Drosophila melanogaster: one gene and its partner. The protein of the gene in region 1 interacts with the protein of each later gene in a biochemical or structural test. Each region holds a gene or a part of one and is shown in the gene's direction. Other genes may lie near its edges.

Evidence for each region.
Region 2: the proteins of Chc (region 1) and Dap160 interact in far-western blotting, tested with the Drosophila melanogaster proteins (one study listed by BioGRID).

Annotation. Positions count from the first base shown.
Region 1 is NC_004354.4:15,830,563-15,838,675, reverse strand, and holds the start of Chc (clathrin heavy chain), read left to right. Parts: upstream 1-3,185; 5' UTR 3,186-3,389; exon of another isoform or gene 3,390-3,448; intron 3,449-3,763; exon of another isoform or gene 3,764-3,855; intron 3,856-3,921; exon of another isoform or gene 3,922-4,044; intron 4,045-4,304; 5' UTR 4,305-4,511; coding exon 4,512-4,553; intron 4,554-4,976; coding exon 4,977-5,184; intron 5,185-5,422; coding exon 5,423-8,113. Other genes in the region: CG8565 (uncharacterized protein), read right to left, coding at 1-296. UniProt on the Drosophila melanogaster protein: Clathrin is the major protein of the polyhedral coat of coated pits and vesicles.
Region 2 is NT_033779.5:21,137,320-21,144,714, reverse strand, and holds the start of Dap160 (dynamin associated protein 160), read left to right. Parts: upstream 1-2,367; 5' UTR 2,368-2,476; intron 2,477-2,702; 5' UTR 2,703-2,926; coding exon 2,927-3,090; intron 3,091-3,162; coding exon 3,163-3,537; intron 3,538-3,706; coding exon 3,707-4,146; intron 4,147-4,224; coding exon of another isoform or gene 4,225-4,236; coding exon 4,237-4,498; intron 4,499-4,558; coding exon 4,559-4,706; intron 4,707-4,772; coding exon 4,773-5,039; intron 5,040-5,112; coding exon 5,113-6,003; intron 6,004-6,353; coding exon 6,354-6,602; intron 6,603-6,684; coding exon 6,685-6,958; intron 6,959-7,026; coding exon 7,027-7,200; coding exon of another isoform or gene 7,201-7,238; exon of another isoform or gene 7,239-7,395. Other genes in the region: pths (porthos), read right to left, coding at 1-703, 893-1,151, 1,212-1,409.

The DNA of each region.
Region 1 (8,113 bases):
TGGTGGTTGTAGGATGGGGATGGCTTTTGTTTTCGCGACAATTGCTTTTGATCCTTGGAACAGGATGGCTGTTTGACCGTATTCGATGTATCAGTCATTCCATCTTCCGACATTTTGCGTCCCATATCCGCATCCACATCCATCGGCACATTCGACTGTTGCGTTGATGCGTTTCCCATTTGAGTCACGCCACACGATTCCATCTGTTTGCGAATCTTTTCCTGGAAGGCCCTCTTTGAAGCCCTGATAATGGCTGCCTTGCGTCTGATTACTCTCGTTCGTTTCATTTTAAACATGATTACTTCACTTGGATTGCTAGCTGCCGACGAATGGTTTAGATGTTCTTATTAGTTTTTCTTGTTTTGGCGAAATTTTCAATTCGAAATACGAGTACGAGTACGTGTACGTGTGTGTAGTATTATTTATTTTTTATCAACCAAATGTATGAAATGTCGAAACTAAACAACGAATTGGAAAATACAACTGCCTTCGATGAACTAAAATGAATGGATGGGGCTAAACGAAAAAAAATGTTGTCCGATAATCTACGCAAAGCTTACTTTTCCCCAAGGAAGTTGGAAATTTTTTTTTTTTTTTTTTTTTTTTTTTTTATTTGGAACCGAAAATTTTGATTGTGATTGAGGTTGTGTGAGCACGCGATTGGTGTCTACAAAATGGTTTAAATTTGAAACTTACCTTCTGTTCCTGGATACAAATACTTGGGTTTGGAAATTTTACCAAATATGTATAAACGTAGAAAAAGGCTAATTTTCCTGCCCTTTTACTTTTGTAAAATATTTTCAACGGTCTTATTTTGGTAAGTTTTTCGGAGCTGTTTTCATGGTGCTGGCCAAATGTTAACTGGTCGTTTTACTGATACGAAAGTCACAAAACACAAAATGTTATTTTCAATGCCCACTTGATCAGAAAATTTAGAAACTCACAGATAGCAAAGTTTCTTAGCATTTTAATAAATATAATTTAAATTTATATTATAGCTCTACATACACACCAGATGTTCAATCAGATTGACATTTCTAAAGAATTTCTTTCTTAAATACTTTATAATACTTTGTGATGATTTTCATTTATGCGCATTGAATCGTTGTGGGAATCTGATCGGCTGGGATCATTTATCACGCCATGCAGCGGATGTAGCAGGATATGCCGCACGATATGATGCTGCATAAAGTGTCCTCTGATCGGTGATCGTTACACAAACCGCATCCTGCGCAGTTACTTTTTATGGGACAAAACCCCATTGTGTGGATGCTACCAAATGTCCTGGAAATCGTAACGAATCCACGCATTCCGACCAAGGTATCCCCGCAGCTGTCCGGCGGAATCGTGTGATCCTGTCGCCCTGCCATCGCCGGCACCACAAAGTTCGCGCCCATGTCGCGGCCGCTGTAATCCTTCGATTACATCGTTACCTCACGGCGATAATCTTGGCGGGGCTGTATTATGGCGTTAGAGTGGGCGTGGCAACATGGATCTCAACTTGGGACTCTCAACCTTCTAGCTTTTATAGTTCTCGACGTTCATACGGACAGACGGACATGACCAGATCGACTCGGCTATTTCTCCTGATCAAGAATATATATATATATATAGATTATATGGTCGGAAACGCTTCCTTCTGCCAGTTTCAACGAATCTTACCCTTACGAGTAACGGGTATAAAAAATTGGAACTTGCATTATTATTGGCTCCCACAGAGAAGGGTATATTATTTGAATGACAACAACGTTTCAATGTAAATATATATTAAAATAATCTAGGTAAACATGAAAACGAAGAAAAATAAAAACAGAATTTAGTGGTATCTTTATGTTATCAAAATGAATATGATTGACAAAGCTCAGAGTCCGCAGCATTCTGCCATTTATCCTGGGCTTCCTAGATCCCAAAACCGAGTCGTAAGAACGTCTGTATATACTGTAGAAGAAACTTATATTAATAAAAGAATTTCCCTGGGAAACGAGGAGTTTATCAGTTTACCTTATTCTGTTAGCGACGGATCCTCTCCCAATGGCCCTGGGTTGAGGAATCCTGGGCGGGTGGGACGCCTAGCAGGAATGCGGCAGACTGCGAACGGCCAAAGCATCGAGCACTGGTCAAATTCGGACAATCCAGCTGGGTTTTTTACCACTGCAATAATGAAAAACTTTCAGAAGTCCTCAAGGGATTGCTCATGGTAGAGAGTGACATCGCTTTTGCTTTTAATAAAAGAATTTCCAAATTTTTGTGCCTGCAGGACAAAAATGATTATGTGTACCTTTTCGACAACTTGCTGAGGTGCTGGACCCTTCGCCCGTTCGAAGACTACCGCAAATCTGCGAGCGGGACGCCCGCAATATTCGTCTAGCTCCTTGCCCCATCCTTTGTCATGCCCTTGATCAGTCAAGTCAAGACGGTATAGATTCTATCGCCAAAAGGTGCTTCAAAATCGGATACTGCTGCTTACCTCATAGATTAAGATTTTATTGTTGGGACTCGGTTTTCCAAATGATAAAAACAATAAAAAAAATGTTTGGAGCAAATCCTAAAGTTGTTGTTTCTGTAGCACATTGAGTGTAAATGTCAAAAATAGTATTGAAAAAGAACAAAGTTAAAATCATCGCCTACTTAAAAATAGTATTGCATAGGAACAATGTTAAAATTATCGCCTACTTATTATCCAGCACTTAAGCAAGATAATTAATGTATATATATTTTTAAAAATTAACGAAAGAGAATGCTTTAGTCCCGTTCTCCGACTATCAGATACCCGTTACGCAGATAGTGTGAGTGCAAACGTGAAATTTAATAATTTTTTCTGGGGTGTGTTCTGTTACTCTACGAGTAACGGGTATAATAACTTCACATTCCAAATTAAATTGCTATAAAAAATAGATTTCCAATTAGAGAATATATCCAATTGGATCACTCGATAACACCTGTTAACCTTACGTATGTATTATGATCTAAAAACTTGTTATCGGCAAAATATAAATGAAGCTGATAAAATAAAATAAATTTGTTGTTCCTTACAAAGTTATACTACATTTACCTAAATAATAATTACATTCGAATATTATGAATAAATACGTGTAACAGTAGGATCGTGCGATACAAATATCGATTCGAATGTTGAATGTGGTATCGATGTTTTTTCACTCCACGCAATTGCATATTTGCCGTATATATCGGCATTAATTGTATAACTTTCACACCTCTACCTTGTCTTGCAGTCAGTATTTAGTCAAACAAAAGAAAAATAAACTACATTTGTTAGAGCTTGATAAGAGCTCAGTTTGTCTTCAGTGTGTGTGCCCGTCATCTAGCAACAAACCGACGTGATTATTTCGAGTATGATAGTACTTAGCGTACATTTTTGTTAAATTGCAGTAAGCATACGGGCTCCAAATATCTTTCGATTCATTGGGAAAAAATGTAAAGTGCTAAAGTGCGTGTGTGTGTTCGCTTGCAAATGCAATATATACATACAAATTTTGTTTATTTGATGTAAAAGCATCCGATTAATTTACCGTTTATCTAATTATGTTCTTGTTTATGTGGCATATTGCGGCACTGCAAGTGTGCGCGCTCATCTGTGAGTGTGTGTGCGCGAGTGCTGCTGTGTGCGTGTGAATTGGGAATTACCGCTACTCAATTTGATGTATATACACCGAATTTCGTCAATTTCATGGCATTGTCCCATTGTTATCAGGCGCAAAACAGTGATATTTAAATGCGATTTTCGATTTTCATGCACACACAGGGGGAGGGAAAACAAGAGCAAAATTGCTGTACATGTATTAGTCAGTGACTAATTGTTCAAAGCGCAACTCAACATGGCTGACTTTTTCTGTGGTGAGCAGCGATTTTTGATGATAATGCTGCCTCTTTTCTTTTCAAATTCTCTCTCTTGATTCGCTCTCACTCTCTCTCTCTCTCCCTCGCTCACCTCAAATAAAATAAAGTGCTGGTAATTTTCCCGTCGTAACGGCAAGTGCAAAAACGCAAGAAAACGAATAAAAATACCGATACAAAGGATTAATCGTAGGAAATAATTTCGTCTATATATTTTCTTGCACAAAAGCGATTGGGGATACAATAAGAGACTCGGTGTTTTATTTTAAGGGCGTTTACATCCATATGTACATACATATAGGCCTTTATCTTTCATTTTTTCATCCGGTGACGCTGTCACTTTCTATCAACAATAAAATAACGCCCACAATTTGATTTTTCCTCATTCTTGCCGCATCAGTGCTGTCCATAACTACATGTTTTTCCAAAATCTTTTGTCTTTCGTGCAGCTAAACGTTCCAATGGAAACCGAATCTTAAACCAGAAACCGACTAAACTCGAACGCAATTAAACAACAATAAATCCTCGAAACAAATCAAATACAAACTGTTACCAAGTGTGCAATTCAAGAAAACATCGTATTGGCATTGTTTTCGCAAAGATACATTTACGTTGTAAAGGTCTGTCAATAACTAGACCTCACTGTAGTAGTAAAGATGACGCAACCACTGCCCATCCGCTTTCAGGAGCATTTACAGGTGAGTAATATTAAATATTTTGGATCTACCATCATTACATATCCACATACGTACAACCCACCAATATGCCACGATTACCTACGATTATATCCGATTCATAAGCTCCCCACTTTTCTTATGAAAATTTCACGGTTTCCAGCTCTAATTCAACGTGTAAACAGAAAATATGGGGGCTTAGGTCGAGTTTCTACTTTGCTATACCTTCTATTCAAGTCTGTATACAGTGTATTTTCTATAGAACTAGTTATAATACAAATTTACATCTAAACTTAAGCAAAGTATTGCGAATATTTAATAGTAAATGTGGGTCAATCCAGGCCAGTTCAATAATTAATAATGAATGATTATATTGTGTAATGAGTGCGTATGCTATGATTTTCGATTTATCAATTAACACACATTTTCAATCTCCACTACGGACAGCTCACAAATGTCGGGATCAACGCCAATTCATTTTCATTCAGCACGCTCACGATGGAATCGGATAAGTTTATTTGCGTGCGGGAGAAGGTGAATGATACCGCCCAAGTGGTCATCATTGACATGAACGATGCCACCAATCCCACGCGGCGTCCCATCTCAGCGGATTCGGCTATCATGAATCCAGCTAGCAAGGTCATTGCGCTCAAAGGTAACTGAAACCGATGGTCCAGTCGATCAGAATGTCCGAAGAGGATCAGATTTTAGCTTAAAGTAACGTAGGCTTAGTAAACAGGTCCGCTTGTTATTACAACGTGTCTAGAAAACTTAAAACCTCACTTAAACTTTAACTTGAATATCAAATAGTAAGGAAAGAGATCAAAGTTTTTTTCCGGTCGACTGGGATAATGCATTTTTGAACATGTATAACTTTAGAATATTTCTTTTAGCGCAAAAGACGTTGCAGATCTTCAACATTGAGATGAAGTCGAAGATGAAGGCGCATACCATGAACGAGGATGTGGTGTTCTGGAAGTGGATCTCCCTCAATACGCTAGCTCTGGTCACAGAAACGAGTGTGTTCCATTGGTCCATGGAGGGCGATTCGATGCCGCAAAAGATGTTTGACCGGCATTCATCGCTGAACGGTTGTCAAATCATCAACTACCGCTGCAATGCCTCCCAGCAGTGGCTACTCTTGGTCGGCATTTCGGCACTGCCAAGTCGCGTTGCCGGTGCCATGCAGTTGTATTCGGTGGAGCGTAAGGTGTCCCAGGCGATCGAGGGGCATGCGGCCAGTTTTGCCACGTTTAAAATCGATGCCAACAAGGAGCCGACCACGCTGTTCTGCTTTGCAGTTCGTACGGCCACTGGGGGCAAGCTTCATATTATCGAAGTTGGTGCTCCGCCGAACGGCAATCAGCCGTTTGCCAAGAAGGCTGTCGATGTCTTCTTTCCGCCGGAAGCACAAAATGATTTCCCTGTGGCTATGCAAGTCTCTGCCAAGTACGACACCATCTACTTGATAACCAAGTATGGATACATACATCTGTATGACATGGAGACGGCCACGTGCATATACATGAATCGTATATCGGCCGATACGATCTTTGTTACCGCACCGCATGAGGCAAGTGGTGGCATCATTGGCGTCAATCGCAAGGGACAGGTCCTCTCCGTGACCGTCGACGAGGAGCAGATCATTCCCTACATCAACACCGTTCTGCAGAATCCCGATTTGGCCCTTCGCATGGCCGTGCGCAACAATTTGGCTGGTGCCGAAGATCTCTTTGTGCGAAAGTTCAACAAGCTCTTTACAGCCGGCCAGTATGCTGAAGCGGCTAAAGTTGCTGCCCTGGCACCCAAGGCCATTCTGCGTACGCCACAGACGATCCAGCGTTTCCAACAGGTGCAGACACCAGCTGGCTCCACGACTCCGCCGCTGCTGCAATACTTTGGCATTCTCCTCGACCAGGGCAAGCTGAACAAGTTCGAGTCTCTCGAGCTGTGCCGTCCCGTCTTGCTGCAGGGCAAGAAGCAGCTGTGCGAGAAGTGGCTGAAGGAGGAGAAGTTGGAATGCAGCGAGGAGTTGGGTGATCTGGTCAAGGCCTCCGATCTTACACTTGCCCTGTCCATCTATCTGCGCGCAAATGTGCCCAACAAGGTTATCCAATGCTTTGCTGAGACTGGGCAGTTCCAGAAGATTGTACTCTACGCCAAGAAGGTCAACTATACGCCCGATTACGTGTTCCTGCTGCGCTCCGTGATGCGAAGCAACCCGGAGCAAGGAGCTGGTTTCGCCTCTATGTTGGTGGCCGAGGAAGAGCCACTGGCGGACATCAATCAGATTGTGGACATCTTCATGGAGCACTCCATGGTGCAGCAGTGCACTGCATTCCTGCTGGACGCCCTCAAGCATAACCGTCCCGCCGAGGGTGCCCTCCAGACGCGCCTGCTGGAAATGAATCTGATGTCTGCTCCGCAGGTGGCCGACGCCATCCTGGGCAATGCTATGTTCACCCACTACGATCGGGCCCACATTGCCCAGCTGTGCGAGAAGGCTGGACTGCTCCAGCGCGCCCTCGAGCACTACACGGATCTGTATGACATTAAGCGGGCCGTTGTGCACACGCACATGCTGAATGCCGAATGGCTGGTCAGTTTCTTTGGCACGCTGTCGGTGGAGGACTCGCTGGAATGTCTGAAGGCAATGCTTACGGCGAATTTGCGCCAGAACTTGCAGATCTGTGTGCAGATTGCCACCAAGTATCACGAACAGCTGACCAACAAGGCACTGATTGATCTGTTCGAAGGTTTCAAGAGCTACGACGGACTGTTCTACTTCCTGAGCAGCATTGTCAACTTCTCACAGGATCCCGAAGTGCACTTCAAATACATTCAGGCGGCATGCAAGACTAATCAGATTAAGGAGGTGGAGCGAATTTGCCGTGAATCAAACTGCTACAATCCCGAACGGGTGAAGAACTTCTTGAAGGAGGCCAAGCTGACGGATCAGCTACCATTAATTATTGTTTGTGATCGTTTTGATTTCGTGCACGACTTGGTGCTTTACCTGTATCGTAACAATCTGCAGAAGTACATTGAGATCTATGTGCAGAAAGTGAATCCATCCCGCTTGCCAGTGGTAGTGGGTGGTCTTCTTGATGTTGATTGCAGTGAGGATATAATTAAAAATCTAATTCTCGTGGTCAAGGGACAATTCTCAACCGACGAACTGGTCGAGGAGGTCGAGAAGCGCAACCGTCTCAAGCTTCTCCTTCCCTGGCTGGAGTCCCGAGTTCACGAGGGCTGCGTCGAGCCAGCCACCCACAACGCGTTGGCCAAGATCTACATTGACTCGAACAACAATCCCGAGAGATATCTTAAGGAGAATCAGTACTACGATAGCCGTGTGGTCGGTCGCTACTGCGAGAAGCGGGATCCCCATTTGGCGTGTGTCGCCTACGAGCGTGGATTGTGCGATCGCGAGCTGATCGCCGTTTGTAACGAGAATTCTCTGTTCAAGAGCGAAGCACGCTACTTGGTTGGTCGCCGCGACGCCGAACTCTGGGCCGAGGTCCTTTCGGAGAGCAATCCATACAAGCGCCAGTTGATCGATCAGGTGGTACAGACCGCTTTGT
Region 2 (7,395 bases), on another chromosome or scaffold:
CGGTGAATGTAGTCTTTGCTGTGCGTTGGTATGTCGAAATTAACGACGACATCCACATGAGGAATGTCCAAGCCGCGGGACGCCACGTCCGTCGAAATGAGTATTGACCGGTTTTTGGCCTTGAATTTGTTTAAAGCAGCTAGTCGCTTGTTTTGCGACATTTGACCGTGCAGCGGAATAGCAGCCAATCCCAACGCACGAAGCATTAACGCTGTCTTAACCGTGTTGTTGCAGGTGCTGCAAAATATCATGAAACTGTTGCCTGCCAGCTCATTAAGGATATGAACCAAATACACATCCTTGTATTTGACAGGGATAAACAAATATGATTGCTGCAGCTGCTCAACCGTCTGATACTTGTTAGACACCTCTACCTTTACGGGATCCTTAAGGGAGGCACGCTGCAGTTTCTTTACTTTCTTGGTCATGGTCGCACTGAACAGAAAGGTTCGTCGTTCACGCGGCAATACCTTCAGAATCTTGTCCAGCTCCACCTCAAAATCCATGTTAAGAATGCGATCCGCCTCGTCCATGACCAAGTATTTAATAGCCTTAAGGTTAAAACCTTTCATGTTTTCTAGATGATCAACCAAGCGACCCGGTGTGGCAATTATAATATGCGGCTTCTTGGCCAGTTGAAGACCCTGGGCTACCATGTCCATGCCGCCGACTACCACGCAACACTTTATGCCAATCCCGCTACCTGAAAAAAACAGAGCTAGCATAAGTTTGGCAGAAGGAAATTCAAGAATACGATAAATGGGAAGGTTTTTTTACTCAGAGGTAGTGACGAATAAGAAAATTATAATTTCATATTTTCGTTGATACACAAAATCAAAACAGGTTTAACATCACTGCGAATTAAAAGCACATAAACTATGCGAAAACTCACCAAGGGCTTCAAACTGCTCGCCAATTTGAAATGCCAGTTCCCTCGTGGGGGTTAGCACGAGGGCAAAATACCGCTGCGGATTCTCGAGAAGGGCGTGTAAAATTGGCAGAGCGAAGGCGCCCGTCTTGCCGGAACCGGTCTCCGCTAGGCCAATTACATCCTTGCCCTGTAAGGCGACCGGAATGGCCTCACGTTGGATCTTCGAAGGCGCCTTCCACTTCAATTCGTCACATGCTTGACACAAAGCCTCATTGAGACCCTTTGAAGAAATATGGCCATTCGATTAAATTTTAATTTAAATTAATAGTGGGGCTCATACGAGATCTTTCCAGGTTAGCTTCTGTTCCTCGGCTGCGTCGTCCTCGGAGCCTTTATCATCTTCACCACTTAGTGCCGCCTCGCTGTCCCCTTCCTTATGATTGTTATCTTCATCTTCCTGCTCCTCCTCGCTACCTAGATCCTCCTCTTCGTCACTCGTTTGTAGCTGCGTCTGTTCGTCCTCTGAAGTTTCCGACATTTTGTTACATGAGTTTCAGAAAAATTTCACGGTACGGACATTACCAATAGCAGCACGTGGTCGAAATAAAAGAATTAGAGGCGGTAAAATAGAAATAGAACTATTTGCGATATTATCGATATAGTTGCGTCTTTAAAACAGTGCAGATTCATGATAACTTTCGATAGCTAATGTGCGATATATCACATGCACACTTAATAAAATTTGTAACTCATTCATACTGAACCATGATCTTAATTACAGGACTTAGTTATAGTGCAAATAGTTTGTTTCGGAAATATATTCACATTTGTATAAAATCGTAATTTGTTAGAAAATTGTTTAATATTGTGATTTTGTCATTTCAGTTAATATAACAATGTTTGAAAATAGATGGTGAATACAAATTTGGTATACATCTTTTTCCATCGCGCAATTTTAAATTAATGAAACGCCAATTAGAGGGTTGTCTGTCATGAACTGTCAACGAATAAAAACTGTTTGACATTTTCATACACAAATGTTATTGATGCTATTATTAACAATTCCGTTAAATCCGGAACAAAAGATTTCTGAATAATTGTCATTTTTAATTGTATAGAAATATTAAAGACAATAAAAGAAAAAAATAGTTGAAATAATTTAACTGACTTGTACTTAACATTTTCTTATAATTTTGGATATTCGAATTTTAATCTTCGATTTTGTTTATTGCGATCTGTTGATGTTTTGGTTAGGTATACATTTTCGTATTGTGTTAAATGCATCATACTGCCGACATAATTTTTATGAGGTTCACTGTAGAAGTAATATAATTAATATATTACTCATAGTCAGTAGTTGTTTCATTTATTTAAAAATCCGTTAGCGGCTAAAAACAAAAACGTTGCAGAATAGTCACATCCAACTTAAGGTCACCGTACTTTTCAACACTTGCTTGCTATAATCACAGAAACAAGCGACGGTCACCCTCCTTCGATTATTAGTCCGTACCTATCGGAGCCTATCGTTCGTCGATATAGGATCCTATCATATAAAATATTGATTAAAATTTACGCAAATACAAAATTTTCTTGTTCCGATGAAAAGTAAGCAACAAAATTACAGTTAAGAGGGATATATAAGAGAATAACGTGTGCGTTGGCGGGGACCATACCACATCATTACTTATCAGTTAATTCGTGGCTATGCGGTTGACAAGTGAAAACGCCTACTAAAGAGAAACTAAAACCTTCAGAAAGCGAGTAAAGGGGGCAATCTATCTTTACAACCTGTCCATTGAGATCGCTTAATATTTTTGGAAATGCTTTATAGGTAAACCATAAAAATCCATTGTGAAAATTTGTGGGGGTGGTGGATACTGAATAGGCGATAGACGTAGTAAAGAGAGCGGCGAAAAGAGTGCGGAGCGAAAGAGTTTGTATTTGATGTGTACTCAAAAGTAGCCGAAGAGAGCGCACTAATACACACGCATACGGAAAAAGGACGATAAAGAGGAAGAGCTTTCCGTGGAAACTAGGATAAAGTGTTTGCCCAAAATGAACTCGGCGGTGGATGCGTGGGCTGTGACCCCGAGGGAGCGTTTGAAGTACCAGGAACAGTTTAGGGCACTCCAGCCGCAGGCAGGATTCGTTACCGGCGCCCAGGCCAAAGGGTTCTTCCTGCAGTCCCAGCTGCCGCCCCTGATCCTGGGCCAAATATGGTATGTATATTACGCCCCCATGAATCATCCACCGATAAGAGTGTTAATTCTTACTCATTTTCTTATCTCCAGGGCTCTGGCGGACACTGATTCCGACGGCAAGATGAACATCAATGAGTTCAGCATAGCCTGCAAGCTTATCAACCTCAAGTTGCGCGGCATGGACGTTCCCAAGGTTCTTCCTCCCAGCCTGCTGTCGTCTCTTACCGGCGATGTCCCCTCGATGACGCCACGTGGCTCCACAAGCTCCTTGAGCCCTTTGGATCCACTCAAGGGAATAGTTCCGGCAGTAGCTCCAGTTGTTCCCGTTGTGGCTCCACCGGTGGCTGTGGCTACTGTCATTTCACCGCCTGGAGTCTCAGTGCCGTCTGGCCCCACACCCCCCACCAGCAATCCACCTAGTCGCCACACGTCTATCTCAGAGCGAGCGCCATCGATCGAGTCTGTGTAAGCATCACTTAGAATCGAATTAATGATTTAATATTATTAATGTAGCAAAGAAGAGATAATTTAATTAATTAAATTTCAAATATTCTTAGTTATTGAAATATTAGCAAAAACATATATATAATATCGTATCTGTTCTTAACTCCTCAATCAACTTCTATCCTTTTAGCAACCAAGGAGAATGGGCCGTTCAAGCTGCCCAAAAGCGTAAATACACGCAGGTGTTCAATGCTAATGATCGCACCCGATCTGGTTACTTAACTGGATCCCAGGCACGCGGCGTTCTCGTACAGAGCAAGTTACCCCAGGTCACGCTGGCCCAAATCTGGACGCTGTCCGACATCGACGGCGATGGACGGCTGAACTGCGACGAGTTTATTCTTGCCATGTTCCTATGCGAGAAGGCCATGGCTGGTGAGAAAATTCCGGTTACCTTGCCCCAGGAATGGGTACCGCCCAACTTGCGCAAAATAAAATCGCGACCGGGATCGGTCTCAGGGGTGGTATCCCGTCCTGGCTCACAGCCGGCCTCCCGACACGCATCTGTTTCATCCCAAAGCGGAGTGGGAGTCGTGGATGCTGACCCAACAGCCGGACTACCTGGACAAAGTAAGTGCTTAATTAACTCCGTTGCCAAACATGTGAATATATTCCATATATTAACACTTGTGATTTCGCGTTCACCAGCTTCCTTCGAAGACAAGCGAAAGGAGAATTATGTTAAGGGTCAAGCAGAGCTGGATCGTAGGCGCAAAATTATGGAGGACCAGCAGCGCAAGGAGCGGGAAGAGAGAGAGCGAAAGGAGCGTGAAGAGGCTGATAAGCGTGAAAAGGCTCGTTTGGAGGCCGAGCGTAAGCAGCAGGAGGAACTAGAGCGACAGCTCCAACGCCAGCGAGAGATTGAGATGGAGAAGGAGGAGCAGCGCAAGAGGGAACTGGAGGCTAAGGAGGCGGCCAGAAAGTAAGGACTTTTATCTTGCTTTGAGCGACAAAACAATGTATACAATTTCTATTGTATCAGGGAGCTTGAGAAGCAGCGCCAGCAGGAATGGGAGCAGGCTAGAATTGCCGAAATGAACGCACAGAAGGAGAGGGAACAAGAACGTGTTCTAAAGCAGAAGGCACACAACACCCAGCTTAATGTGGAGCTCAGCACACTGAATGAAAAAGTAATGTTCTTAAAGTACAACTAATCTATATGGCTGGCCTATCTAACTAACTCGGCTTAATTACAGATCAAGGAGCTTTCGCAGAGGATTTGCGACACTCGTGCCGGCGTGACAAACGTAAAGACCGTTATCGACGGAATGCGCACCCAGCGCGACACTTCCATGTCCGAAATGTCGCAGCTGAAAGCGCGGATTAAGGAACAGAACGCTAAACTGCTTCAGCTCACCCAAGAGAGGGCCAAGTGGGAGGCCAAGAGCAAGGCCAGCGGGGCTGCCTTGGGAGGGGAGAATGCGCAGCAGGAGCAACTGAATGCCGCATTCGCCCACAAGCAGGTGAGCTTTGGCATATACGTAAAGTTTTAGTATTCAACGGATTCTCTAAAATACTATTTACCTTTTTCAACAGTTAATTATTAACCAAATAAAGGATAAAGTCGAGAATATCAGTAAAGAGATTGAGTCAAAGAAGGAGGACATCAACACTAATGATGTACAGATGTCTGAGCTCAAGGCCGAGCTCTCCGCTCTAATCACAAAGTGCGAGGATCTGTACAAGGAATACGATGTGCAGCGCACCTCGGTGCTGGAATTGAAGTACAATCGAAAGAACGAAACTAGTGTATCGTCGGCCTGGGACACAGGCTCTTCCAGTGCTTGGGAGGAGACGGGTACGACTGTCACCGATCCCTACGCAGTTGCGAGCAATGATATCTCCGCACTGGCCGCTCCAGCTGTGGACTTAGGGGGACCGGCCCCAGAAGGATTCGTGAAATATCAAGCAGTATACGAGTTCAACGCACGCAACGCGGAGGAGATTACCTTTGTGCCTGGTGACATTATCCTGGTGCCATTGGAGCAGAACGCCGAGCCGGGATGGTTGGCTGGCGAAATAAATGGCCACACCGGCTGGTTCCCTGAATCCTATGTGGAGAAACTAGAAGTCGGTGAAGTTGCTCCTGTCGCCGCTGTCGAAGCCCCGGTTGATGCTCAAGTGGCCACCGTGGCTGACACCTACAATGACAATATCAATACCAGCTCGATTCCGGCAGCTTCCGCAGATCTGACTGCCGCCGGCGATGTCGAGTATTATATAGCCGCATATCCTTATGAGTCCGCCGAGGAAGGCGATTTGAGCTTCAGTGCCGGTGAGATGGTCATGGTCATCAAGAAGGAGGGTGAGTGGTGGACAGGTACCATTGGTAGCCGCACGGGCATGTTTCCTTCGAACTATGTCCAAAAGGCTGATGTGGGCACAGCGAGCACAGCCGCTGCCGAACCGGTAGAATCTCTTGATCAGGTAAGTGGATAGATAGTACATAATTAAGTAATGTGTGGGGCCATTTGCGTTTTAAATTGATTGGAACTAGAATCAAGAATTATAATATTATTATGTATACAAAATCGTGTACAATTTCATATTAAAAAAAAGTAAGCGACATTATTTATATAAGAGAGAAGTGAATTTAGTTCCCATATAAGAGAATATAAACGCTAAATATACAGGCCAACACTTTATCTTACTTGTAAAGAGTTTACAATCCCGAAGTCTAGAGTCGTGTCTAACCGTTGCCCTCACGTCCATCTACTAATCCAATGCTTTTCATGTGCTGTGCTTTTTGCTACCGTGTTACACTTGCACTGACCCAGGAGACGACGCTAAACGGCAACGCTGCCTACACCGCTGCTCCCGTGGAGGCACAGGAGCAGGTTTACCAGCCGCTGCCTGTTCAGGAGCCCAGCGAGCAGCCGATATCTAGCCCAGGCGTTGGCGCCGAGGAGGCGCACGAAGACCTCGACACTGAAGTTTCCCAGATAAATACACAGTCCAAAACACAGAGCAGCGAGCCTGCCGAGAGCTACAGCCGACCCATGTCACGCACCTCTTCCATGACACCCGTAAATAGTTGACACAGCCCGTTACCACTTCATTTATTGTTTCATTTAATGAACCAACATCTTTTTCGTCATCATTTTGCAGGGAATGCGTGCCAAGCGGTCTGAGATTGCTCAAGTAATCGCGCCCTATGAGGCAACCAGCACGGAACAGCTTTCGCTGACGAGAGGCCAATTAATAATGATCCGTAAAAAGACGGACTCCGGCTGGTGGGAGGGTGAGCTGCAGGCAAAGGGTCGACGGCGGCAGATCGGATGGTTCCCGGCCACTTACGTGAAGGTTCTCCAAGGCGGGCGCAACAGCGGACGGAATACTCCGGTTTCCGGTAGTCGAATCGAGATGACTGAACAGATCTTGGGTTGGTTTTTGAATATTCGTAGTATGATTTAAATAAATTATTTTATCTATATCGTTTTTCCCATGCAGACAAGGTCATTGCTCTCTATCCGTACAAAGCACAAAATGACGACGAGCTGTCGTTTGATAAGGACGATATCATTAGCGTTCTGGGTCGGGATGAGCCGGAGTGGTGGCGTGGCGAGCTGAATGGCCTTTCCGGTCTCTTCCCTAGCAACTATGTGGGGCCCTTCGTGACGTCCGGTAAGCCAGCAAAAGCAAATGGCACCACCAAGAAGTGAATCTCACATACCGATCCAGCTTAGCTCTCTAGTTACCACATTCCGTACACATATTGTTATGTTTACTATTATTTTCGAATTATCCATTATCGATTCCAATAAGTTCTCGCCTATTCTCGCTATTGAAACCCCCACTTTAGTGTTTATTTGTTGCAAT